2 linked regions of the Zea mays genome follow. The protein of the gene in region 1 interacts with the protein of each later gene in a biochemical or structural test. Links are inferred from orthologs where the notes say so. Each region holds a gene or a part of one and is shown on either strand. Other genes may lie near its edges. The genes, in order: regulatory protein viviparous-1 and uncharacterized protein.

Region 1 (13,361 bases):
CAAGATGAGGATCAAGCTCAAAATGATGAAAATGAAGGTCAAGAGGATGAGCCACCTCAAGAGGAGGACAATTATCAAGGGGGAGATGACAATGATCAAGACAAAGAAGATGATCAAGAAGTTCAGGGTCAAAGACCGCCACACCCAAGAGTCCACCAAGCGATCCAAAGAGATCACCCCGTGAACTCCATCCTCGACGATATTCATAAGGGGGTAACAACTTGATTTCGAGTCGCTCATTTTTGTGAACATTACTTTTTTGTTTCCTCTATTAAGCCATACAGGGTAGAGGATGCACTAAGAGATTCGGATTGGGTGTTGGCAATGCAAGAGGAGCTCAACAACTTCACAAGGAATGAGGTATGGCATCTTGTTCCACGTCCTAATCAAAATGGTGTAGGTACCAAGTGGATATTCTGCAACAAGCAAGATGAGCATGGTGTGGTGACAAGGAACAAAGCCCGACTTGTGGCCAAGAGATATTCACAAGTCTAAGGTTTGGATTTCGGTGAAACCTATGCACCCGTAGCTAGGCTTGAGTCAATTCGCATATTACTTGCCTATGCTACTTACCGTGGCTTCAAGCTTTATCAAATGGACGTGAAGAGTGCCTTTCTCAATGGACCAATCAAGGAAGAGGTCTATGTTGAGCAACCTCCCGGCTTTGAAGATAGTGAGTACCCTAATCATGTTTACAAACTCTCTAAGGCGCTTTATGGGCTCAAGCAAGCCCCAAGAGCATGGTATGAATGCCTAAGAAATTTTCTTATCACTAATGGCTTCAAAGTCGGTAAAGCCGATCCTACACTCTTTACTAAAACCATCGCAAATGATTTGTTTGTATGCCAAATTTACGTTGATGATATCATTTTTGGGTCTACTAACAAATCTACTCGTGAAGAGTTTAGTAGGATAATGATTCAAAAATTCGAGATGTCAATGATGGGTGAGTTGAAGTACTTCTTAGGATTTCAAGTGAAGCAACACCAAGAGGACACCTTCATCAGCAAAACAAAGTACATTCAAGACATACTTACCAAGTTTGGAATGAAGGATGCCAAGCCCATCAAGACACCCATGGGAACCAATGGGCATCTCGACCTCGACATGGGAGGTAAATCCGTAGAGCAAAAGGTATACCGGTCAATGATAGGATCTCTACTCTATTTATGTGCATCTCGACCGGATATTATGCTTTCAGTATGCATGTGTGCAAGGTTCCAAGCTGATCCTAAGGAAGTTCACCTTAGGGCCGTGAAAAGAATCGTGATATATTTAGTTTACACTCCTAAGTTTGGTCTTTGGTACCCCAAGGGATCCACTTTTGATTTAATAGGATATTCAGATGCTGATTGGGCAGGGTGTAAAATTGATAGGAAGAGCACATCAGGGACTTGTCAGTTTCTAGGGAGATCCCTGGTGTCTTGGGCTTCAAAGAAACAAAATTTAGTAGCTCTTTCTACCGCCGAAGCCGAGTATATTGCCGCTAGGGCTGGGCAAAAAACTCGTAACCCGAAACCCAAACCCGGAATACCCGAACCTGAACCTGAAATACCGAACCCCGAATTTTGTTTGGGAATTTCGGGTAGCAACTTGCAAAACCCAAATTTATTTCGGGTAATTCGGGTATCACAATCGGGTACCCGAAATACCCGAACTTTCATGTGTCATGTACTCATGTCATGCTTAATTATTAATTTGTGCATCTATATGTGTAAGTGTGCATAACTTGTGATTGTAGATTGCTTGTGTTTTATATGTCCATGTATATCATTATTCAAACTATATTTTTATACTAATTTAATAAGGTGTATGTGTTTTTATGAAGCCGACATAATAGTTCGGGTAGTTCGGGAATACCCGAACTCGAAATTCCGGATACCCGAATTTTCGGGTATTGCAAAACTCGTTGTAATTTCGGGTATCGATTCTCAAAACCCGAAATTTTAAAAACCCGAAATACCCGACCCAAAATTTTCGGGTAACCTGAACGCATACCCCTAATTACCGCAGGCCATTATTGTGCGCAATTGCTTTGGATGAGGCAAACCCTCAGAGACTATGGCTACAAATTGAGCAAAGTCCCTCTCCTATGTGACAATGAGAGTGCAATCCGTATGGCGGATAATCCCGTTGAACACATCCGCGGTAAGCACATAGCCATTCAGTATCACTTTTTGAGGGATCACCAACAAATGGGGGAAATCGAGATTGCTTATGTTAGCACCAAAGAAAAACTAGCCGATATCTTTACCAAACCATTAGATGAGAAAACCTTTACCAAACTTAGGAATGAGCTAAACATTCTTGATTCTTGGAACTTTGATTGATACTTTGCACACATAGCTCATTTATATACCTTTGATCATATCTCTTTTATGTCTATGACTAATGTGTTTTTAAGTTTATTCATATGCTAAGTCATAGATTGAAAGGGAAATGGAGTCTTCGGCGAAGACAAGGCTTCCACTCCACTCTATCGGTATTATTTACCCTTCGCCGTCACTCCGCACCATTCTCCGCTATGGTATAATCTTCACTCATATTTATTTGTACCATTGGGAGAGAAAGTTAAAGGGCTCTTAAAAGACTCCGTTTTTGGCGATTAATGCCAAAGGGGGAGAAATATTAAGCCCAAAGCAAAAGGACCGCACCACCACCACATTTCAAAATTTCTTAAAGTATTTAAAGAGGATTTTTCAATTGGTATCTAAATCTTTTTCATACTGGTAAAACCCTCTTGAACACTAAGAGGAGAATTTCATCCAGGGGGAGCTTTGTTTAAGTCAAAGGAAAAGCATTTGAAACAGGGGGAGAAATTTCAAATCTTGAAAATGCCTTTTGAAATCTTATTCATGTACCTTTGACTATTTACAAAAAGAGTTTGAAAAGATTTTCCAAAAGAATTTGCAAAAACAAAACAAGTGGTGCAAATGTGGTCCAAAGTGTTAAAAGAAAGACAGCAATCCATGCATATCTAGTGAAAGTATAAATTGGTTTAATTCCAAGCAACCTTTGCACTTGCCTTATGCAAACTAGTTCAATTCTGCACTTATACATTTGCTTTGGTTTGTGTTGGCATCAATCACCAAAAAGGGGGAGATTGAAAGGGAAATAGGGTCAAACCTTTTCCTAAATGATTTTGGTGGTTGAAATGCCCAACACAAACAATTGGACTAACTAGTTTGCTCTAGATTATATATTCTACAGGTGCTAAAGGTTCAACACAAACCAATAAAAAGATCAAGTTAGGGTTCAAAAGAAAGGAGCAAAAGAAACCGAAGAGAACCCTGGTCTGGCGCACCGGACTGTCCGGTGCCCAGGGCCGTACTCCTTCAAACATGCCACCTTCGGGTTTCTGGAGAGCCGCTCCACTATAATTCACCGGACTGTCCGGTGTGGCACCAGACTGTCCGGTGCACCAGCGGAGCAACGACTATCCAGCGCAACGGTCGTCTGCAAAAGCGTGAACAATGCGCGTCAGAGTCAGAGCGCAGAGTCATTACGCACCGGCCACTGGACAATAGCTGTCCGGTGCGGCACCAGACGGTCCAGTGCGATATGAAGTCAGCGCTCCAACGGTCGAAACCGTCAGAACCCTAACGGTTGGGTGACGTAGTTGGCGCACCGGACTATCCGGTGCGCCCATTGACAGACAACCTCCCCAATGGTTGGTTTGGTGGTTGGGGCTATAAATACCCCAACCACCACCACTCAAGGCATCCAAGTTTTTTCAGACATCTCATTCAATACAAGAGCTAGTGCAATCAATACAAGACACAATTCAAAAGAATCAAAGCCTCTCTAAGTCCCAAATACACTCCAAACACCTAGTGACTAGAGAGAGAGTTTTGCTAGTGTTCTTTGAGCTCTTGTGCTTGGATCGATTTCTTCTTCCCCATTCTTGTTCTTCAAAGCACTTGTAATCAAAGTAAGAGACACCAATTATGTGGTGGTCCTTGCGGGTTCTAAGTGACCCGGTTGATTAAGGAGAAAGCTCACTCGGTCTAAGTGACTGTTTGAGAGAGGGAAAGGGTTGAAAGAGACCCGGTCTTTGTGACCACCTCAACGGGGACTAGGTTCTTTGGAACCGAACCTCGGTAAAACAAATCACCGTGTCATCCGCTTTATTTTTTGGTTGATTTGTTTTCGCCCTCTCTTCCGGACTTCAATTTTATTCTAACTCTAACCTCGGCTTGAAGTGTGCTTAAAGTTTGTAAATTTCAGTTTCCGCCTATCCACCCCCTCTAGGCGACTTTCATCCTCCCACCCGCTCGCTTTCCTCTCCATCGAGCTCCTTGCATCTCCACAATTGTGGAGTAGGAGCTCCCCGACCGTGTCCAAGACGAAATTAAGACGTGGAGGCTCTGCTCTCTCGGCTGCAGACACAACGCGGATGGTGCGACAACTTCATCTAAGGAGTGTCTGTCGTGTAGGCTCTGGTCCCCTCCCACGCCCGTAAGATGGCATCATAATTTTTAGCTTATAAGTTCATAAATCACATAATAATATCATCACATGTCAAGAGTTTCTTTATATTTTGGGTTATTCGGTCTATTGGGACCAAAAACTGAACCCTAACCCGTACATATGTACTCCTGAATTATAGCAAATGTAGGAATCAAACCCAAACCCAAACCCAAAACCCAATATAGGCTGACAATTTAGTTTATTTGGGTTCTGCTCAGGTTTGGGTTCAGTCTTCAGTTTAAAAATGCCACCCCTAATCTTGAACAATGTAAATATGCAAAGTAGTGATGAACTCAACCCTCGGGTTTAGGTTGAGTCTAGCAGTAGCCGATATCCTCTCATGTACGCTAAATATAGGGGAGGTTATCTCTCCTATCTACTCTAACAATGTCCTTTAAATTTAGAGGACGTTCGTCCTCTATATATATTATCTGCCCTCCCATCTACCCCATTTTAATATTTTAAACAAAGATTAATAACTTAAGATATGTAAAGGCTAGTTCGACAACCTTTTTTCAAGTGATTTCTATTTTCCAAGGAAATTAGTTCATTTTTTCTAGGGAAAATGGAAATCTCTTGGAAAAATGAAGTTACCGAACTAGCCCTAAGGATATAAAAATATGTACGTGCAAAAATCTAGAGCAAAATATATCTCTAATATAAGTATTTATGTATAGATGGTGAGATATAGAGGACACTGATGAATAGAAATTAGATATGGATGAGAGAATCTTTTAAATATTACTGTAAAGTAAGGATATATTGGATGTTGCGTCTTAGGGTGTAAAAATAAAAAATAGAGTTTAAACTATAACGTTTAGAACACAAAATTTAAACTAGTAAGCTTACTGCTTTGTTGTGATATTTAGAATGTGCCGTGGCCCACCTGAACCAACGCCTCCAAAAAAAGTCCAATTGTGGGTTTCTCACGTTTGCATAGAGAAATTAATTGCGCCACCTTCCAAAAGACAACCACATGAAACCTATCAAATTAATCTTCCACCATAAATATATTGTCATCAAAATATCTTTTTGGCATAGCTAGCAGACCCGAAAATTCGGTTGACACCATATTTAAGAACGCCAGTCATCTTTTTTTGTAAATGCACAGGTGGGAAAATGCTAAAAGAACATAAGTACATAGAGCCAAAGATGAAGTAAGAGGAGGACCGCAGATTAATAATAAAAAGCCCGAGGAGTTTGCAAAGGAACTCCTACTACTAGTACAATCCACCCATCTAAGTATACTACACGCAAAGTTCCCAAATAGAAGGGTTCCACTTCCACGTCGTCGTGCCCGCCTTCAAGTCCCCGAATCACCCACACCGTGTAGGTTCCGCGCGTGCGCGTAGAGAAACTCCTCTGCTTCGTAGACAAGCCAGTGGCACCATCCTGGAGCTTCCGTCCGTGGGATCACGCAGAGACTGCATCGGACGGTCAGGAATCGTCCCAACACTCGGGATTCAGTCGGCGCGCCGGCGACACGGACATCCTACGGCGCCGAAGCAGCTACGCGCACGCTGTTTTCTCCACGCACGGGCTCGCGGGGCCCACGCCTCATTGACTGACCAAAAACATGGGCGCTCTCTCGTTTCCGTTTCTGGAGCAGTCAAATTAGAACGCGGCGAAGAGGCGAGACCTGAAAACACACAGACACTGACATGTTGGACAGCATCGCTCGGCCCATGCCATAGACGGGTCATGCACAGAGAAACCTAATCAGTAATAGTTTGTGATACCTCTATGACAAAGTGGGTCCATTATCTTCAGCCCCACGTCTCCGAGAGAGGTATAGGGTGCGCGCCAGGGGTGAGAAGTATGGTGGCCGAGGAGAGGCTGGCGTGGGCGGTGGAGCGCTCCCCTCGGTCGCCACGTGTGTCACGCAGCCGCATCTCGGTTCCCTCCTCTCTCTCTCTCTTCTTCTCCCTCTCCACCTCCTGCTTGCACTGTTCGTCTCCTCAGTAACTGCACCCACCTCCACACCTACACCCGAGAGGCGGCGGCGGCAGACACAGACACCGTCTCTCTCCTCCCTTTGTCGTCGTGTCTCTCTGCATGGAAGCCTCCGCCGGCTCGTCGCCACCGCACTCCCAAGAGAACCCGCCGGAGCACGGTGGCGACATGGGAGGGGCCCCCGCGGAGGAGATCGGAGGGGAGGCGGCGGATGATTTCATGTTCGCTGAAGACACGTTCCCCTCCCTCCCGGACTTCCCTTGCCTTTCGTCGCCGTCCAGCTCCACCTTCTCGTCCAACTCCTCGTCAAACTCCTCCAGCGCCTACACCAACACGGCAGGAAGAGCCGGCGGCGAGCCCTCCGAGCCTGCTTCGGCCGGAGAAGGGTTTGATGCGCTCGATGACATCGACCAGCTCCTCGACTTCGCGTCGCTTTCCATGCCGTGGGACTCCGAGCCGTTCCCGGGGGTTAGCATGATGCTAGAGAACGCCATGTCGGCGCCGCCGCAGCCGGTGGGCGACGGCATGAGTGAAGAGAAAGCCGTGCCGGAAGGGACCACAGGGGGAGAGGAGGCCTGCATGGATGCGTCGGAGGGGGAGGAGCTGCCGCGGTTCTTCATGGAGTGGCTCACGAGCAACCGCGAAAACATCTCGGCCGAGGATCTCCGCGGGATCCGCCTCCGCCGCTCCACCATCGAGGCCGCCGCCGCCCGGCTCGGCGGCGGGCGCCAGGGCACCATGCAGCTGCTCAAGCTCATCCTCACCTGGGTGCAGAACCACCACCTCCAGAGGAAGCGCCCGCGCGACGTGATGGAGGAGGAGGCGGGCCTGCACGTCCAGCTCCCCAGCCCGGTCGCCAACCCACCAGGATACGAGTTCCCCGCCGGCGGACAGGACATGGCCGCGGGCGGCGGCACATCTTGGATGCCCCACCAGCAGGCATTCACGCCGCCTGCTGCGTACGGCGGCGACGCGGTGTACCCGAGCGCGGCAGGCCAACAGTACTCTTTCCACCAGGGCCCCAGCACGAGCAGCGTGGTCGTGAACAGCCAACCGTTCTCCCCGCCGCCTGTGGGCGACATGCACGGCGCGAACATGGCCTGGCCGCAGCAGTACGTGCCGTTCCCACCGCCTGGGGCTTCCACGGGCTCTTACCCTATGCCGCAGCCGTTCTCCCCCGGATTCGGCGGGCAGTACGCCGGCGCCGGCGCTGGCCACCTCTCAGTGGCCCCCCAGCGCATGGCAGGCGTGGAGGCCTCGGCGACCAAGGAGGCCCGCAAGAAGCGCATGGCGAGACAGCGGCGCCTGTCCTGCCTGCAGCAGCAGCGCAGCCAGCAGCTGAGCCTGGGCCAGATCCAGGCCTCCGTCCACCTGCAGGAGCCGTCCCCTCGGTCCACGCACTCCGGCCCGGTCACGCCGTCAGCAGGCGGCTGGGGATTCTGGTCGCCGAGCAGCCAGCAGCAGGTCCAGAACCCGCTCTCCAAGTCCAATTCATCAAGGGCGCCGCCTCCCTCGCTGGAAGCGGCGGCGGTGGCGCCACAGACAAAGCCCGCGCCTGCTGGTGCTCGGCAGGACGACATTCACCACCGCCTCGCAGCGGCTTCAGATAAGCGGCAGGTGCATGCATGCGTAGCTTGGCATCGCTAGCCAGCACGAGATCTATACCAATCTGTGTTCTTGCGTTTGCTCCGAATAGAGAGAGACGCACATCGCTGTCGAGCAATAGAATCGACGTGCGCGTGTGCCGTACGCTCGCTCGCGTACGGGTTCGATGCGTGTGCTCCTCGGGTGTTCACTCACGCGTATATGGTTCTGATGGACGAACATGTGTGTGGGATTGCAGGGCGCCAAGGCGGACAAGAACCTGCGGTTCCTGCTGCAGAAGGTGCTGAAGCAGAGCGACGTCGGGAGCCTCGGCCGCATCGTGCTCCCCAAAGTGAGACAGACGCCGGCCGGCCCTTCATGATCTGCATCATATCTATACCCCCCACTTGCGCATATAGATCTATCTACTTAGGGGGTGTTTGGTTAGAGGGACTAAAGATTAGTCTCTAGTTTTTAGTCCCTTTTAGTCCCTTTTTTGCCAAACACTAGGACTAAAATATGGACTAAAATGATTGCCAGTAGAATTAAAAGCTCATAATTATCATGTTGCCCTTACCTTTTTATAGATAACTAATATCATGAGTATATTCTAAGGGTATTTGAGTCTTTGGACAATGTATTTAATGACTTTAGAATCTATTTAGTCCCTAGAACCAAACATATAGGGACTAAAGTTTAGTCCTAGGACTAAAGTTTAGTCCTAGAACTAATTGAAACCAAACATGCCCTTAGCTTGCATTGCGCGTGCATGCATGCCTGTTGCATCAGTTTGGTCACTTTCTGTTCTTGAACTAACTAAAATCGGCCATGGATAGGTCATATATATAGATCTACGCATATATACCAAAGCTCGCAAACTGCCCCTGAATCTGTTCTTCAAAACCGCCTTGCCTTTTTTAAACTGAACTGGGCCGTGGTTGGTTTGGCATCTCAACTAAAAATCGTCGCCTTGTCTTGTTTTTGGACGATTCAGAAGGAAGCGGAGGTTCACCTGCCGGAGCTGAAGACGAGGGATGGCATCTCCATCCCCATGGAGGACATCGGAACGTCGCGCGTGTGGAACATGCGGTACAGGTGAGTGTGTGTGTCATCATTGGTCTAGGGACAGACGTCGAGCATCCATAAATTAAATCCAGTTGCTGGCTGCTGTTTTCCTCGAATCTGTTTCTTCTCCTTCTCCTTTTCCTTTGTTTGTTTGATTGATTGATTGAGAGCTGCTGCCTGCAGTTCGTGCATGGTCGTCTACTGGGGGCAGGGAGAGATATATAGGTAGTATACCACTAACCACTGGGCCAGAGATAGTAAATGGCATGAGTACGACATCTGTGGCATGGTCCCTTTCTTTCCCAATTTGGCAAGTGGGTCATATGAATATAGTGTACGATGAGAATCCGAGGAGCAAATAGTGGCATGCACTCGTCTACACGGAATTCTGCACGCAATAAACATGCATCTTCTCCAACTTGCTGATAAGCCTGATATATAACATACCACTACCACCAGGTCAGGTGATATTTGTTCTGAAAATGGCATCTTCTGTTCGGTCCAAAATATGATTGCCAGGACACCACAGTAAACATGGTCTCTCAGTCCAGGACACCACAGTAAACATGGTCTCTCAGTCCTCCGGATCTCTCGTTAGTACAGCGAAGCTCTATAGTGATGTTCCTAGAGCTATTTTCACTGGCGTTTTTCAGTGACGCCAGTGCTAGGGGCCAGTAGAATTCGAATAAACAACTGACCCCTAGCACTGACGACACTAAAAAACGCCAGTGCAAATAGCTTTAAACCGCCACTATAGAGCTTCTTTGTACTAGTGTTTGGCAGCTAGGTGCACATCTTTGTGCAGCAGCCATAGTCGCGTTTTTTCTTCTTCGTCGTCGTCTTGTGGCTCTTTCTTCTGGTTTGGCTTTCTCATACTAATGAAGTTTATTAATCTTTAGTAATTCGAGTTGCGAAAATAATAATAACAACTTGTTCCAGTAGTGCAGGTTCTATGAAAATGAGGTAACTGTTTTTTTGGATTCTCATATGATCTGGTGATGTTTTTTTTCCAAAACTGGATTACCTTGCTGAAAACTAAAATTATTATTCATATATACGGTATAGTATCGACTGTTACCAGTGCAATGTCAGTGCTTTCATCAGCTGAGCTCCTTATTGCATGCACGCAGGTTTTGGCCCAACAACAAGAGCAGAATGTATCTGCTGGAGAACACAGGTGAGAGGATCTTAACGTTATGATTTCCATCCATCCGACCTTGACAACGATTCTTCGTCGTTATGGTCTGTCTGATCTTTTTTTCCTGTTTTTCTTTCTCAACCTGCAGGGGAATTTGTTCGTTCCAACGAGCTTCAGGAGGGGGATTTCATAGTGATCTACTCCGATGTCAAGTCGGGCAAATATGTATGTTCTTCTATTGCCGACTATTTCCTTGCTACATAATGCTCGTTTTTCTGGTCCATATGCCTGCATCATTAGTCAACTCAAACGTGTTGTCGTCCTTGAAACTGCAATCCAAATCTACGCAACCGTTTTGCATGCCACTGTTTGTATGTGGATGCCTGGATGGCAATCAAGGACATAGTGGCATCTTTTGATCTCGCTGTTCATGGAATTGGTTTACTTCAGCAGCAACTCATCAAGAACCCTGAAACCCCCCTTGTGTCCTATATATATCCACAGCTGATACGGGGCGTGAAGGTAAGGCCCCCGCCGGCGCAAGAGCAAGGCAGTGGTTCCAGCGGGGGAGGCAAGCACAGGCCCCTCTGTCCAGCAGGTCCAGGGAGAGCCGCAGCCGCCGGTGCTCCTGAAGACGCCGTCGTCGACGGGGTCAGCGGCGCCTGCAAGGGGAGGTCTCCGGAAGGCGTGCGGCGGGTTCGGCAGCAGGGAGCCGGCGCCATGAGCCAGATGGCGGTGAGCATCTGAAAGAGCAGCAGACTCCGCCATATATTGATCGATCGACCAATCGATCGTTAGTTCTCCAAGTTACTATTAGCTAGCTATAGCTCGAAACAGCTGAACTGATGATGACGATGGTAACCTCCGTCGTGTGTGCTAAGCATGTAGCGTGCTAGGAGATGATATATTAAATATAATCGAGTAGTAGAGCCACCCGCTGTGTGACGCTAAATTTGTGTGCATGGTTTGGTTTGTGAGTTGGGCCCGTGCGTGGCTGTGTCATGTCGTGGTTAATTAGCTATACTAGTCCTGTCTGTACATGCATGGACATACCTGATCTCTCGGCCATTGGTGTCGGCGACGTGCCATTCGGCTAACAAGACGACAGCTGCAGCCTGCAGCAAAAGCTAGAACATTCTACACATGCCTTCGTGTATGTTATGCTTTGTAGTTTCCTGGATGCATGCATTGCATATAGTGGTGTCCTGCTTGGTTTATGCCCAAAATTTGTCATACCAAAGATTTAGGAAGACAAAATCCGATAAAAAATAATCGTTATACATTTGTCAAGCCACAGGCAAATATGAGAGGTTGAGAGATTTTGGTAGCAAACCAAATAATAATAGTCACGAACCAAGATTTGTCAAACGGAATGATAGTATGAACCAAAATTTGTCATGCATGCCAAGCCAAAGCCAGATTAAAAAAAATCTGTTATGGATTTGGCAAGCCAAATGTGAGAGGTTGACAAGTTCTGTAACAAACCAAATGATAGCTAAAACCATAGCTTGTCAAATGCTTGGCTTGACTTAGCAATCATATTTTGAAAGCCAATTAACTAACCGCGCACCCAACTTTGTTGCAAGCATGGGTTGCTTTTTTTTTTCCGAACAAAGCGTGCATGGTGGTTGCTTTTTTATTATTATATATAAACAATGCTGATGGAACGAAGCACAGTGGTGATAAGCGATGAACAGAAACGACCACCATGCGTGTGTATATATGCAGAAAAAAAAGGTGGGTGGTTCTTTCCTAAAATTATTTATGTGTATAAACAGGAAGGAAAGGAAGGCCACACATGCTGCATCTGCATCACGCACGGCACCTAACCTGCTGGTTGATTCCTGATGCGCCCCTAGATTCCTCATCTGGACAGGACAATGGACGACGACGGGGCATGCATGGCCGGGACTTCGTTCGCTGCGGCGAGCCGGCGACCGGGCTCGACGGATGGAGTGGATCCACACCCGTGGCCAGCAGCCCCGCGCGCCAGGCTGTCCGTTCGTCGCCATGTGCGGCGCTGGCGTTGGAAACATGACGTGATGGCGCGCTCGGTTCCGCCGGGGAACGATATGTTAAACTAGTATACATCCCCTGTGCCGATTGGTCGACGGAGCTCTCTCCGGCCGCCATGTGCCGCCCGCCGCCGCGGTCGATCGACAAGCTTCCTTAGATTTATTTGGTCAAGCCCTGCCGTCTTATTGCTTGCAGATCGGACAAGATAACACATCACTCAAAGAAAATAGTCATTGTGTTGTTGCTGTTTTTCTCTGAAAAATATTGTCTGTACTCCTTTTTTTTGAACTTCGAAGCAAAGCTCTTGCAGCCCTTTAAAAAACAAGGAAGTATGATACAGTGAAATGCAGACACTCTAGCAATACACGCGCATTCACTTTTCTACCATGGACATGTGCACGCTCGTTATATATACTCCCAACTATATGAACAACAGTATGTGCCTTAATTCGAAGACTGTTCAGTACACAGTACTGCACCCGTTACAATTTAGATATCATTTTAGCATTTTAAATATATAACTTTCACTACATATCTAAATATATACTATGTCTAGATATATTTTAAAAGTTATGTATTTGAAAACCAAAATAACTTATACTATAAAAGAGAGGGAGTGTATGTTGAGTAATTAGACAAATTCCAGTTTAAATTCCGAATATAAATCATGACCAAATCAGAAGAACTGAAATAACAAGCCAAAACAGATGATGCGTACTGATTAGACTTACTGATAGATGGCACGCGCCGGAATCAGCAGGGTCGACGATGTCGAAGTAGCGAAATCAGCAGATCACGAGCAGTCGCGTGAAGACGCTTCCCAAAAACCTTATTCGCCCAAAAACCTTATTCGCCCTCTCCCGGTGCAGGATCTAGAAGACGAAGGGTTCCGGAGACCTGACGAAGGGAACTAAAAGACAGCTCAGATATGAAGAGAGGCGAAAGCGAACTGGGATTATTTGGAGGCTGGCTGTCGGGCTCCTTTTATAGGGCTGAGTCCGCAAGGCGAGGGGCCGGATTTCGGCGGACCATTCACGCGCATGTCGTGCGCCCGCGCCCTTCGCCCCGCCCCGCCCCGGCCAGGCGAGGCGAGGCGAGCGAGCGCGCGCGCGTGTGGCTCTCCACACTCTCTCCT
Region 2 (12,254 bases), on another chromosome or scaffold:
ATGGCGGGGACCGAGCAAAAAGGGGAGGAGCGCTGGGAGCGGATGATGCTGGCGGTGGAACGGTTGACTGGGAAGATGGAAGCGATGGAGATCGGGCAGAAGAAGGCAGAGGAAGATCGAGCACTGTTGGCTCGACACATGGAGGAGAACGAGAGAACTATTGCGCAGCTGCGATTGGATTTACAAGCGAGGGAGCAGGAAGGTAATGACACAAACTCTGAGCGCGAGCTGCGTGTTCCTCGAGGGGATGATCGGGGTGGAGGAATGGAGCGTGGAAGAGATCGTAGAGAGCAGTGGGGTGGAGGAAGAGAGAATGGGACATGCCCATTTCCGAAGTGGACATTTCCCAAGTTTCAGGGCAGTAATCCGGGAGTCTGGTTTGATCGGTGTGTTGATTATTTCACTGTTTACCAGGTGCCCGAGTGGTTGTGGGCGAGTTCAGCTTCTATGCACATGGAGGGGAATGCGTCGAAGTGGTTGCAAGTGTATAAGCTGAAACACGGATTGGGTGATTGGGGGCAGTTTACACAAGCAGTTAGGGAGCAGTTTGGAGTGGATGAATATCCTCAAGCTATGAGAGATTTGGTGAATGTGACTCAGCAGCAAGGAGTGGAGGAGTACTCTCAAGCTTTTGATGATATTAGGTATGTTGCTACCTTGCATAATCCTGAGTTAGGTGAGACCCTGTTTGTGACACACTACATTAAAGGGTTGAAACCTGAAATTCAGAATCAAGTCATGGCTCGGATGCCTAAGACAGTGGATAAGGCGAAGAGGTTGGCCAAGGTGTATCAGGAGATTGCAGAGAAGAATAGAGTTAGAAACCAAAAGGGACAAGTTCTTAAAACTCAGGTTGCAGGAGTAAGGGGGGAGAATAGGGCAGGAATATTGTACCCTGAGTTGAGCAAGGAAAGACAGTTGAGAGAATATAGAAGAGCGAATGGGTTGTGTTTTATTTGTGGAGATAAATTTGAGCCAGGCCATCAAGCAAAATGTCCCAAGAGGGTGGTAACTCAACTGCATAATCTGACCGTGGAAGATATGGGCCTGGTTTTGACTGATGAGGTATTGCAGAAGTTGGAAGATGAGGAGAAGTGTGTGGAGGAGTTACATCAGTTGTCCTGGAATGCTATTAGTGGCACGGAATGTGATGGATGTATGAGGGTCCAAGCTCTGGTTCAGGATCAGATGTTGGTCATGCTCATTGATTCTGGTAGCTCTGCAACTTTTATCAGCCAGAGAATTGTAGCAAAATTGGGGTTGATCACTGAAGATTGTTCCACTGTGCGGGTTAAGGTGGCAAATGGAGCAGCTATGATCAGTGACAAAAGAGTTAAGGAAGTAGTGTGGAGTTCTGGGGGGCACCTGTACAACACTGCTATGAGGGTGTTAGATTTGGAAGCATATGATGTGATCCTGGGGTATGATTGGCTGAAGGCTCACAGTCCTATGGAGTGTGACTGGAATAACAAGGTATTAACCTTTACTGATCAAGGGAAGACGGTCAGGTTACAGGGTGGTGCTAGAGAAGTGCAGGAAGTGCGACAAGTATCTGTGTTGCAGCTGGAGAAATGGATGAAGGGAGAGGAAGTCTGGGTATTTGTGCTTTTAGAGCAGGTTTCAGAAGACACAATTGGGACAAATGATGCAGTTCTACAGGAGATTTTAAAGGAATTCGAAGATGTTTTTGCTGTGCCTTCGAAATTGCCTCCAATCAGACCTTATGATCATCACATTCCTCTGTTGCCAGGGTCTATTCCAGTAAACTCAAGGCCTTATCGATATTCTCCAGCTCACAAAACTGAGATTGAAAAGCAAATTGCTGAACTGCTAGCAGCAGGGTTGATAGTCCCTAGTGTCAGTCCGTTTGCTTCTCCAGTTTTACTTGTGCAAAAAAAAGATGGCAGCTGGAGGTTCTGTATAGATTACAGGAAGTTAAATGGAATGACTATAAAGAACAGGTTTCCTATGCCTATGGTGGATGAGATCCTGGATGAATTAGCTGGTGCACAGTATTTTACCAGTCTTGACATGACAGCAGGATATCATCAAATTCGAATGGGAACTGAGGATGAATACAAGACTGCTTTTAAAACCCATCATGGCCATTATCAGTTTCGAGTAATGCCTTTTGGTCTCACTAATGCACCAGCTAGTTTCCAGTGTGCCATGAACTCAGTGTTGGAGCCTTTTCTCAGAAAATTTGTTATGGTTTTCTTGGATGATATTCTCATTTACAGCCCTAGTTTGGAAGTGCATTATCAACATATTCGGATGGTGTTGGCCAAGCTGAGAGAGCACCAGTTTTTCTTAAAGATGAAGAAATGCTCCTTTGTGAAGCATGAACTCAAATATTTGGGTCATGTGATTTCAAGAGATGGGGTGGCTACAGATTCTAGTAAAACTGAGGCTATGTTGTCCTGGCCACAACCTAAGAATGTGACGGAATTGAGGGGATTCTTAGGTTTAACAGGCTATTACAGGAAATTTGTGAAAGATTATGGTATTATTGCTCGACCTCTTACTAAGCTGTTGCAGAAACAACAGGTGTTTCAGTGGTCTGAAGATGCTCAGGTTGCTTTTCATAAGTTGAAACAGGCTATGGCTTCAACACCGGTTCTTGCTCTGCCCAGGTTTGATCTGCCTTTTACAGTCGAGACAGATGCGTCAGATGTGGGTCTTGGAGCGGTGTTGATGCAACAGGGCAGACCCATTGCCTTTCTTAGTAAAGCTCTGGGAGAAAAGAACAAACATCTTTCTATATATGAGAAGGAGTTTTTGGCTTTGATTATGGCTGTAGATAAGTGGAGGCAATATTTGCAGAGGGGTGCATTTGTGATTAAGACAGATCACAAATCTTTGACATTCTTGGGAGACCAGCAATTGCAGTCAGATCTTCAAAAGAAGGCTATGACCAAGTTAATGGGATTGCAATTTCAGATTGTATATAAAAAGGGGGCAGAGAATGTCGTTGCTGATGCATTGTCCAGGAGGAGTTCAGTATTGGACTTGGCTGCCATTTCTGAAGTGCAACCAGTTTGGGTACAGGAGGTGCTGAATTCTTATGCTACTGATGCTGAAGCTCAACAGTTGATAGCTCAATTGTTGGTGCGCAGTCCTGATGAGAATGGGTTTTCATTGTATCAAGGCATTATTCGTAAGGCAGGCAGGATTTGGATTGGTGCTAATTCTGCTCTGAGAACCAAGTTGGTGGCAGCTTTGCATGATAGTGCCCTTGGTGGTCATTCTGGTACTCAGGCAACTTATCAACGGGTAAAGAAAGTGTTTTATTGGAGGGGATTAAAGGCAGATGTGGTCCAGTTTGTGCAACAGTGTGCAATTTGTCAAAAGGCCAAGAGTGAAAGAACTCATCCAGCTGGGTTATTACAACCTTTGCCGGTACCACAGGGTGTGTGGGAAGATGTGACTATGGATTTCATTGAAGGTTTGCCTAAGTCGGAAGGGTTTGATACAATATTAGTGGTGGTGGACAGATTCTCGAAATATAGCCATTTCTTTCCTTTGAAACATCCTTTTACTGCAAAGGGTGTTGCACAAGTCTTTCTGGACAATGTGGTTAAGCTACATGGCGTACCCAAATCGCTGGTATCTGACAGGGATAAAGTGTTCACTAGCAGTTTTTGGAAGAACCTGTTTCAGTTGATGGAGGTCAAGCTGTTGATGTCTACAGCCTATCACCCACAGACTGATGGCCAAAGTGAACGTGTGAACCAATGCTTGGAGATGTATCTCCGGTGTGCTGTCAACTCTCAGCCCACCAAATGGAAGAGTTGGTTGGCTCTCGCGGAGTATTGGTACAATACCACTTATCATGTTGTTTTGGGTTGTACACCATTCAGGGTGTTATATGGTTATGATGCTCCTATGCTAGCCCTCCCTAGGCTCATCAATATTGAGGACCCGGATGTCACTACGTGGGTCAAGGAAAGGAGTGCTTTTTCTGCCATGTTGAAGGAACAGTTGGCTAGAGCACAGTTGCGTATGAAGCAATATGCTGATAAGGGCAGAACACCAAGAGAGTTTCAAGTAGGAGAATTGGTGCTGTTAAAACTTCAACCATATGCACAGAAGACAGTGGTGAATCGGCCTTGTCCTAAATTGTCTTTTAAGTTTTTTGGGCCTTACAAGATTATAGCTCGAGTTGGGGCAGTGGCATATAAGCTGGAATTGCCACCCGATGCTCAGGTGCATCCAGTGTTTCATGTGTCTCAGCTTAAGCCGTTTCACCCGTGTTATTCTCCAGTTTACACTGAACTTCCTCTCTTGGTTGATCTGTCCCAAGGGGATGTTGAGCCTGACCAAATTCTGAATCGAAGGATGGTACGTAAAGGAAACAATGCTATTGTCCAGGTGCTGGTCAAATGGACAGGTCTTCCAGCCGATGCGGCTACCTGGGAAGACTATGAAGTGGTGAAGGCAAGGTTTCCTACAGCGCACGCTTGGGGACAAGCGTCTTTTGACGCTGGGGGAGATGTGATGACCCAAGGTGGCGGTGTTTAGGCACAGGTATGGAGTATTAGTGGGTCTTTTGAGTATTAGGGTTTGGGCCATAATAGGGCCGTATTATTCTTCTTTGGGCTGTAATAAGTGATTAGCCAAGTCATTAGTCGTTCTGTTAGTTGGATTTCAGATCTATAAATACTGTAACTGGTTGATTGAGAGGGGATAGAAAAACAGAAATCGAAATCCAACTCACCGGTGTCCTTGGCTTCGTTCTTTTCACCGGTCTGCTACCGACTCACGCCCGGCGAACTCTAGCCGCGGCCACGGGTCATCACACAGCACTTCGAGGAGGCCGTAAACGAGCTCGCCGCCGCCGTCCGGGACCGCTACGCCGGCGCCTCTCCAGCCCTCCGCAAAGCGGTAACGCAAACCCCACCTCTCCAGCATCCACGGGAACAAAACAAAAAAAAAATTCTCGTTGCCTTCTGGATGATGGAATTCCGAATTCGGGTGGCCGGCACGGCTCACGGCTGGCTTTCCATAAACCAAATTTCGATGTCTATGGAACCGTAGGCCGTAGCACACTAGCTCTGCGTGCGTGGACATGGGTTTGCTTCGATTGCAACTGCTAAATTTATATAAATGGACTAAAAATTAGTCCCTAGAAAAACTAAACACCCTTAGGACTTGTTTCGGTTGGGGTGAATTGAGGGGATCGGAGGCTCTTTCTATATAAATTTGAATAGGAAGGGATTTAATCCACTTATGTCCCCCTCAAACCGAACAGGCCCTTAGTCATGGGGTTTCCGTGGCAATTAACCAGAGGCATTCTCACCCATTCGTCAATAGATGATGAAATCAAGGCTGGTTTAACTCGCTGTGTTACTATGGCTTTGGTCAAAAGTCAAAACTTAGATCTTATAGTAAAGTGCCTGCTGAATAATGACATATCTTTGTGCCAGAGTCCTACTAGACCGACAAATCTCAGCAATAGCAGTAATTGGTCTTTGTGTCAGGGTCCTAGACCGACAAATCTCAGCAATAGCAGTAATTGGTGGTTTGAGATACATCACAAGAGAATCAGAATGTGGAGACATGAAATGACAAGGAATCAGAGGCAGGTAGCAAGAACTAGTACATGAGCAGAGTTCAGAGGTAGGATAAGACAGAGCCTATACTTGGTCCTGTTCCATCCCCTTTGCTGGCATATGCTCTGAACCTTTATAGTTTATAGCAAGCATAACACTAACCCATTTTGCAGCCTGGTCCGTGTCAGGCCCATTTGGCAGCCCAATCCATGACACTTTCCTTTAACCCTATTATATAATGTAAGGAATGCTGTAACCAAGGTCATGTACAAGTAGCATCACAACCCCAGTATCAGTAGCCAACTTTTCTGCAGAACGTGTCATGGTAACTTCTCTTGATGTGCTTAACTAGGGGGTACATTGAAAGATATGTACTGTATATGCTACTGCATGACACACACATATACAAATTGATATATTTGCCATGGAGCTACAAAAGGCATAGCACCTTTTTGTGTGGGCATTTTGATCCATATTAATGTTGTAAAAAGCTCCCTTTGGCGATTCTTTTTTAACTGCAAAAGGTTTTGTCAATCAATTTGCATTCTATAGTACAACTATATGCCTATATTGTTATTATTACATAATATCCTATTTATTTGGACTGCTATGACCTTGAATGTCCTTTATGTTCACTCTTGACTGTTACAAGTGTCATCTACCAAAGACGCTAGTAGTGGTTGGTCAACGAGTAGTGGCACCAGCCAGCTAGGTAATGACAGTGTTCACCAACCATGGTTACTGTATGTCCCTATAGGTGAGGCCGGGTTTTTTGGGGGGGGGTTTGGACCGGTTTCACTGAGTGCAAACTGCAAAGCCATGGGGCAGTCCCCCCTCCCCCTCCCGCTTTTTTTTTTATGAAACTCATCTATTATCTTTGTGTTTATTTTGAGCAATTGTTATTTTCCGCAGATGTATTCAACGGTTTGCCGCGTTGCAACAGTGCTTCAAACCAGATATACAGCTCCAGGATTCTGGCATGTTGGTCTGAACCTCTTCGTTGGAATAGAGAAGCTGGTAAGTAATCCTGCTGAAAAGGAGCACCTGAAGACCTGCATTTCGAGGGCCCGTGAGCATCTTGATGAAAAGGAAAATGAGGATTCTGTGCCAAGCAACAGAGAAGCAGGTACATAACATATTTTTGTTATGCACTTAATGATGCAATATCTCTTAAAATTTGTTATTACCAATATCTATTTGTTAATAAGATGTTGCTTTTTCGCAGACACCAGATTTCTTTTTGAAGGGCACCTTACTGTGGGACAGGAACCTCCACCTCCAGCATGGCTTGTTGCCCAGAATTTAACGAGGGAATTGAGCATACTAACTGAATCCTCTGGTGATCAAGATGGGAGCAACAACAGAACAGTGCCTAGAGCCGAGGAGATTACACCTGCTATAATGAACCTCCTAGAAACCATATCAGGCGACAGGGATCTAGAAACTGCTTTGGAAGAATCACTGCAGGTGTGCATGAATACTTAATAATCATTTCATGAGAATCTACTTCTTTAGTACATTGCTAGGTCTTTTGTCAGGTCTTTTAACCAACTAAAGAAGGGCGCACAATTATATGCTTATGATCTTTAGTTTATCCAATCTCATGACAAACTAGCCTTGTAAACCTAATTTGCCTGCACTCAAGTGATAGTACTGATTTGCTCAAAGCAGAGGTAGTCTCATCATGTTTTTGATGGATGAGGAAATTATTCTCTTTAAGTTTATTATTATTATCTTAATTGGACCTTGCATGTAGTGGGAAAGGATCTAAGCTGTACAATTTGTAGTCAAGCAGCTTCTCTATGTGACAACTTTCTAACTCTGCCATGTATGTTTGCTTCACATAGCTGGAACTATAATAGGATGTGAAAATACTGATATCGAGTTTACATTTTAATGCCAGGGAATCATTGAGTATCCACAGAGGGCACCCCCGGCTTCAAAGGAAGTTGTCGCCAATCTTCCTGTCATTGCTGTTACCGAGGAAGTCATGTCTAGATTGGGTAGTGAGACGGAGTGTGCTGTCTGCCGCGAAAACTTGGTTGTGGATGACAAGATGCAGGAGCTTCCCTGCAAGCATCTCTTCCATCCTCTTTGTCTGAAGCCATGGCTGGTAAACTTCTTGTGAACCCTGCAGATAAATAGGCTTGAAGTAGAGGAGCAGCATTGTTGCAATCGGTATATCTAACCAATCGTGATTTTTTTTGTTTCATTTAGGACGAGAACAACTCCTGCCCTATCTGCCGGCATGAGCTGAGGACGGATGACCATGTGTATGAGAGCAGGAAGGAGCGTGAAAGGGAAGAGGAAGAAGATAGAAGGGGTGCGGCAAATGCTGTTAGGGGTGGAGAATTCATTTATATCTGAACTCAACAGTTCCAGAATGTAATCCCTTTGATGAACTTCGTGATTACCATGTTGACATATATATATACCTAGTTACTTATGCTTGAGTTAAATATCTTGCGATCTTATTACCTCTGATTTGTGCTATGCCCTATCTGTGTTCGTTTATCTTATCATCTAGTTTGTTTGTAGGCCTAGACGCATAGCAGGTCATCAATAAAAGTCGATAGGCAATCATAGTATGTTGACACACAGAGACGAAGCGGATAAGCTTGACGGTTTTTGGAATGAGAGTAGCAGATCTTGCATAGTGTCATAGTGTGGCACAACCGTTGTTCGAGGAGGATTATGACAGTGACTGGGGTGTGATGGGCGTTGGCTGATGCGTGTAATTTTCAACCCCTGTGACTAGTCCTCTTATATATATCTATCTTGTAAGTCCTATGAGAAGATAAATGATTTATTACATTTATTGTATTTTATACACTCTCCTCGTAAAATAGAGATTCTAGCTTGGCGTGTGTGACTTTTTCTCGTGAAGGTTTTTACGTAAAATTTTAAGCCTTGTGTTTGGTTTATATTTGCATTATAAACTAACAAGTGGTGTCAGAACCAAACATAAGATTAAAAATTCTATTGTTTCAATCTATCTGCAAGTTTCGTGGCGTTGTCATATATGTTTAAATCTACTGTTCAGCATCTTCGAGATGGAGTCAATTTTTATGCCATTGTTGATTGGTGGTATGCCGATTCATTTGCAAAAGTTACTACCGAGAGGTATAGTTGGTTTTAGTCACCGGTGTATGATCCATCTACAAATGGAGAAGGAAAATTTTCTATCGTCGTTGTCTCAAATCCATGCTACCATGTTTCCTGTCAATCACGTGAATCGAGAAAGTAATCAAGTTTCTCTTGTCTTGCTGCCGTTGATCGTTAGTGAAAACAAATCAACCTATTTGCTGCGCACACTTAAGGAAATTACCAAAATATTTCAAATTCATTGCTAAACATACACAAGCTGTATACCGGATTGTAGATATTTTTTTGCTAGGGTTACACCTCAATTTATGTAGTTGAGGGCTATTCTTATGCACGCTAAAGTCAATGGTGCTCTTGTTAAATTTAATAAAAATAATTTAAAATCTTGGACCAATGAGATGAGAAAAGATTGTAAAGCCTTGACTCAAATCCGACCTCGTCTTCCAAATAATATTTTTGCAAATTGTTTGCAAGATAAAATTGTAGTTGTCTTATGGCTCAAGTTGAAGTATATTTGTATGCCTAAGGATTTGACAAGCAAGATACATATGAAGCTAAAGTTATACATGCATAAGTTGTAAGAGGGTAGTTCTGTACTTGATCATCATTTGATCTTTAATAAGATTGTTTCAGAACTATAGGATATACGGGTACATTATAATCAGAAGCGGGCCCAGACATTTGAGATTGGGTATTCAAAAATTCAAAAGATTAAAGAATTTAGTGTTCTAACGCTATTTTATGTAATACATTATTGACAAATTAGTGTTCTAACACTATAGATCACAAAAACATGGGTATTCAATGAATACCCATGAAACACCCCTGGGGCCGCCCATGATTATAATGATAAGGATTTGTGTCTCTAAAACGGTTTTGGCTCCTTGCCACCTTGGGAGGAGCACTTTTTATCTAGTGCAGGGGCACCAAGATCACCGCCCATCAACTTTGCTGCATTGCTAACTTAAGGTCCCATTGTTAGAGCAACTCCAGTAGTTCTCTAATAGACTTCCTAACTCAACAATTTAAGTAGTTAACACAAAACTCATCTCCAACAGTTCTCTAAACGAACTTTCTAAATTTAACAACTTCTCATCTAACCTTATTTCCTCTCTACATTTGGCAACCATTTAGCAACTCCCTAAACAAAAATGTTTATTGCATTATGTAGATAATGAAGGTAATTGAGCAAATCCTTATATAACCATTTAGCAACTTCACTATCGGAGAACTCACATTTTTTTACTCCCAAAGTTATTTAGCAACTTCTTAAATCTATGATTTATAGAGCTAAAATTATATAACTATTGGAGTTGCTCTTAGCGCTCTTTCTGCTTCGCTCCTCGCAAGAATTAGCTCAAAGCGGTTAAACGGCTCAGCTCCGTGGTGCTTGGGAACCGCACCATAACTCCTCCAAGGGGTGAAAACGGACGGAGTAAAATCCCATTCTAACCCGTACTGTTTTCTATATTTGATCTGACTGTTTTCGTATTTACGGGAAAAACCGGAAACGATACAGAAACGAGAGAGGGTCTATCCTGCCCGTTTTTATTCGGGTTAAACTCGTATTTTGAGAATCCGAGACCATCCCAATATACATTAGTGCATTAGCTGAAGCCTCATATCCTTAGGTGACAAATTATAACATAAGTGGTCATTTTAGCCACCGGCTCTCTTTAACGACATGTGTCCTAAAAGCTCAAAAAACCGATTGTAGCTATACGTACACCACTAGCAAGCAAATATCAATGGAGTGTTGCCCCTCTATATCTATTTATTTTATATTGTTGCCATATCAGTCAGTTACCAGTTAGCTATCAAAATATCATATGTTTGTATTAGAATACAAGTTTTCACTTAAATTTCAGTTTCCATTTAACTCGTTTATCCCTCTTCCGTTTTTGTTCCTAACTAATTTGTACCCGGTAAATGATAAAATGCAGAAACGAAAACGAGGTATGGATTTTTTTCGTCCGTTTTCAACACTATCTCTACATTGACGCCTCTAATTATAATAGCAAAAAGATCGAGTGGCCGAAGCGGAAGTGGGTGATAGCGAGAAGGGAAGAAGCTCTACCGAAGGGCTCCTCATGCTGTGCGGTCGCTCCACCGTTGCTTGCTATTAGGAACACGCATAAACGGATCAAACGGGCCATTTGCTCCCACGATCCCACGAACACAGGCACCCCCACCCAAATGGCCAAAGCCGCCGCGATCGCGAGCTGCAATACACGCGCACACCCACCCTGCATGCTCGACCGCTCGAGCGGCGAGCGCCAAGCAGCCCAAGCTGGATCACAACCCTACGCGGCCACGCCACACCACAGGCCACACCGTATCGATCTGCACAGCAAAAGCAGTAGCAGCATGCCAGCATCCGATATTCCGATCCCAGCAAAAACAATTCTCACAGAAAGAGATTATTTTGCCCCCTCACCAATCCTGCTCCCAAAACTCCTAATCTTTTAATCCGCGTTTGTTTTCCTCCGGCCGTCCCTGGCTTGCAGCAGTAATGAAGCGGAGGAGGAAAAAGGAGAAAACGAAAAGGCGCAGGGAAAACAACGCACCAGCAACAGCAGAGAGCAGGCGCACATCAACTCATCTAATCTCCTCATCAAGCTGGGCGATGCGTGTGAGCAGGCAGGCGGTTAGGGCGAAAATCTGAGAAGTCCGGGAGAATCTCCGGACTGACCTCCCCGTACCCGTCAAAAATCCAATCTTGACGCCTCCCTGGTCGAGCCGAGACTGTTCCAAAGTTTCTGTCTCTGTGATGCGTGATTGTTTGCCGCTGCTAATGAGGCCCGCTCGCCTGATCCCCGTGGTCGTCGTCGCCCGTTAATCCGCTTCAGCTCTGGTTCCGGTTCTTGGACAGATTTTTTCGCCCCTCTTGGTTGTGGATTGCGCTGTTTTTGTTTGTCTGGATCTGCATAAGGGCGTGGGCCGATTCGCCACCACCACAAGCAGAGACGGCTCCTCTTTTTTATTGCCTCCACAGTGGGATTTGCTTTCGCGTTGTTGCAGTATCTATCTATTTCTGCGAATCATCTTCTAGGGCTCCGTTTGTTCTCGCGCACTTTACCCTTCGCTGCCCCCATCTCCCAGCACCGAATCCGCCCCCTTCCCGGCCGTCGATTGAGGGCGTGCCGCTGCCGATTGCGCCGCAAAATCGCGTCTTGGTAAGGCCGCACGCTCAGATTCGTGAGTTTCGCTGCGGATTTGGTTGGGATTTGGGGGATTCCTGATGCGTTTTCTGTGTCCCAGGGTTTGGTCCATGAAGAAGTGGGGTTGATTTCTGATTTCAAGGGGAGGTTTTTCTCCTGCGCGGCCGCCGCCAGGGAGGCTCCGGCCTGCCAGCCATGTCTCAAATCCAAAGCTTCTCGCGGAACAACTGTGTGCTCCTTGTGGTGCTGTGTGGGAAGTATGCTGAGAAGCGAGCACCAGCAGCGAAGTCTGGGCTGGAGGCGAAGCGGCCACGGCCGTCTTACCCATTCCCGGAGCTCAGCTCAGCTGGGCGATTGGAGGTCAACTGTTTGCTCCTTGCTTGAGTGCGCACGCTCGTTGCAGTTTGCCTCCTTTGTTTATCAGCTGAATGAAGGG

What was found.
Region 2: the proteins of regulatory protein viviparous-1 (region 1) and uncharacterized protein form a complex in vitro, tested with the Arabidopsis thaliana proteins (2 studies listed by BioGRID, with this or other methods). The link is inferred for Zea mays from reciprocal best matches to the Arabidopsis thaliana genes ABI3 and AIP2.

The regions. Positions count from the first base shown.
Region 1 is NC_050098.1:164,986,595-164,999,955, forward strand, and holds regulatory protein viviparous-1, read left to right. Parts: upstream 1-6,379; 5' UTR 6,380-6,525; coding exon 6,526-8,040; intron 8,041-8,266; coding exon 8,267-8,359; intron 8,360-9,001; coding exon of another isoform or gene 9,002-9,004; coding exon 9,005-9,102; intron 9,103-10,202; coding exon 10,203-10,249; intron 10,250-10,358; coding exon 10,359-10,435; intron 10,436-10,714; coding exon 10,715-10,957; 3' UTR 10,958-11,352; downstream 11,353-13,361. UniProt on the Arabidopsis thaliana protein: Participates in abscisic acid-regulated gene expression during seed development. Regulates the transcription of SGR1 and SGR2 that are involved in leaf and embryo degreening.
Region 2 is NC_050097.1:188,439,576-188,451,829, reverse strand, and holds the end of uncharacterized protein, read left to right. Parts: exon of another isoform or gene 1-4,527; intron 4,528-4,552; exon of another isoform or gene 4,553-4,803; coding exon 4,804-4,884; intron 4,885-4,963; exon of another isoform or gene 4,964-5,619; intron 5,620-6,464; coding exon 6,465-6,678; intron 6,679-6,777; coding exon 6,778-7,019; intron 7,020-7,455; coding exon 7,456-7,665; intron 7,666-7,769; coding exon 7,770-7,919; 3' UTR 7,920-8,031; downstream 8,032-12,254. Other genes in the region: AT-rich interactive domain-containing protein 4, read left to right, coding at 12,014-12,178. UniProt on the Arabidopsis thaliana protein: E3 ubiquitin-protein ligase that acts as a negative regulator of abscisic acid (ABA) signaling. Mediates ubiquitination and subsequent proteasomal degradation of the transcription factor ABI3.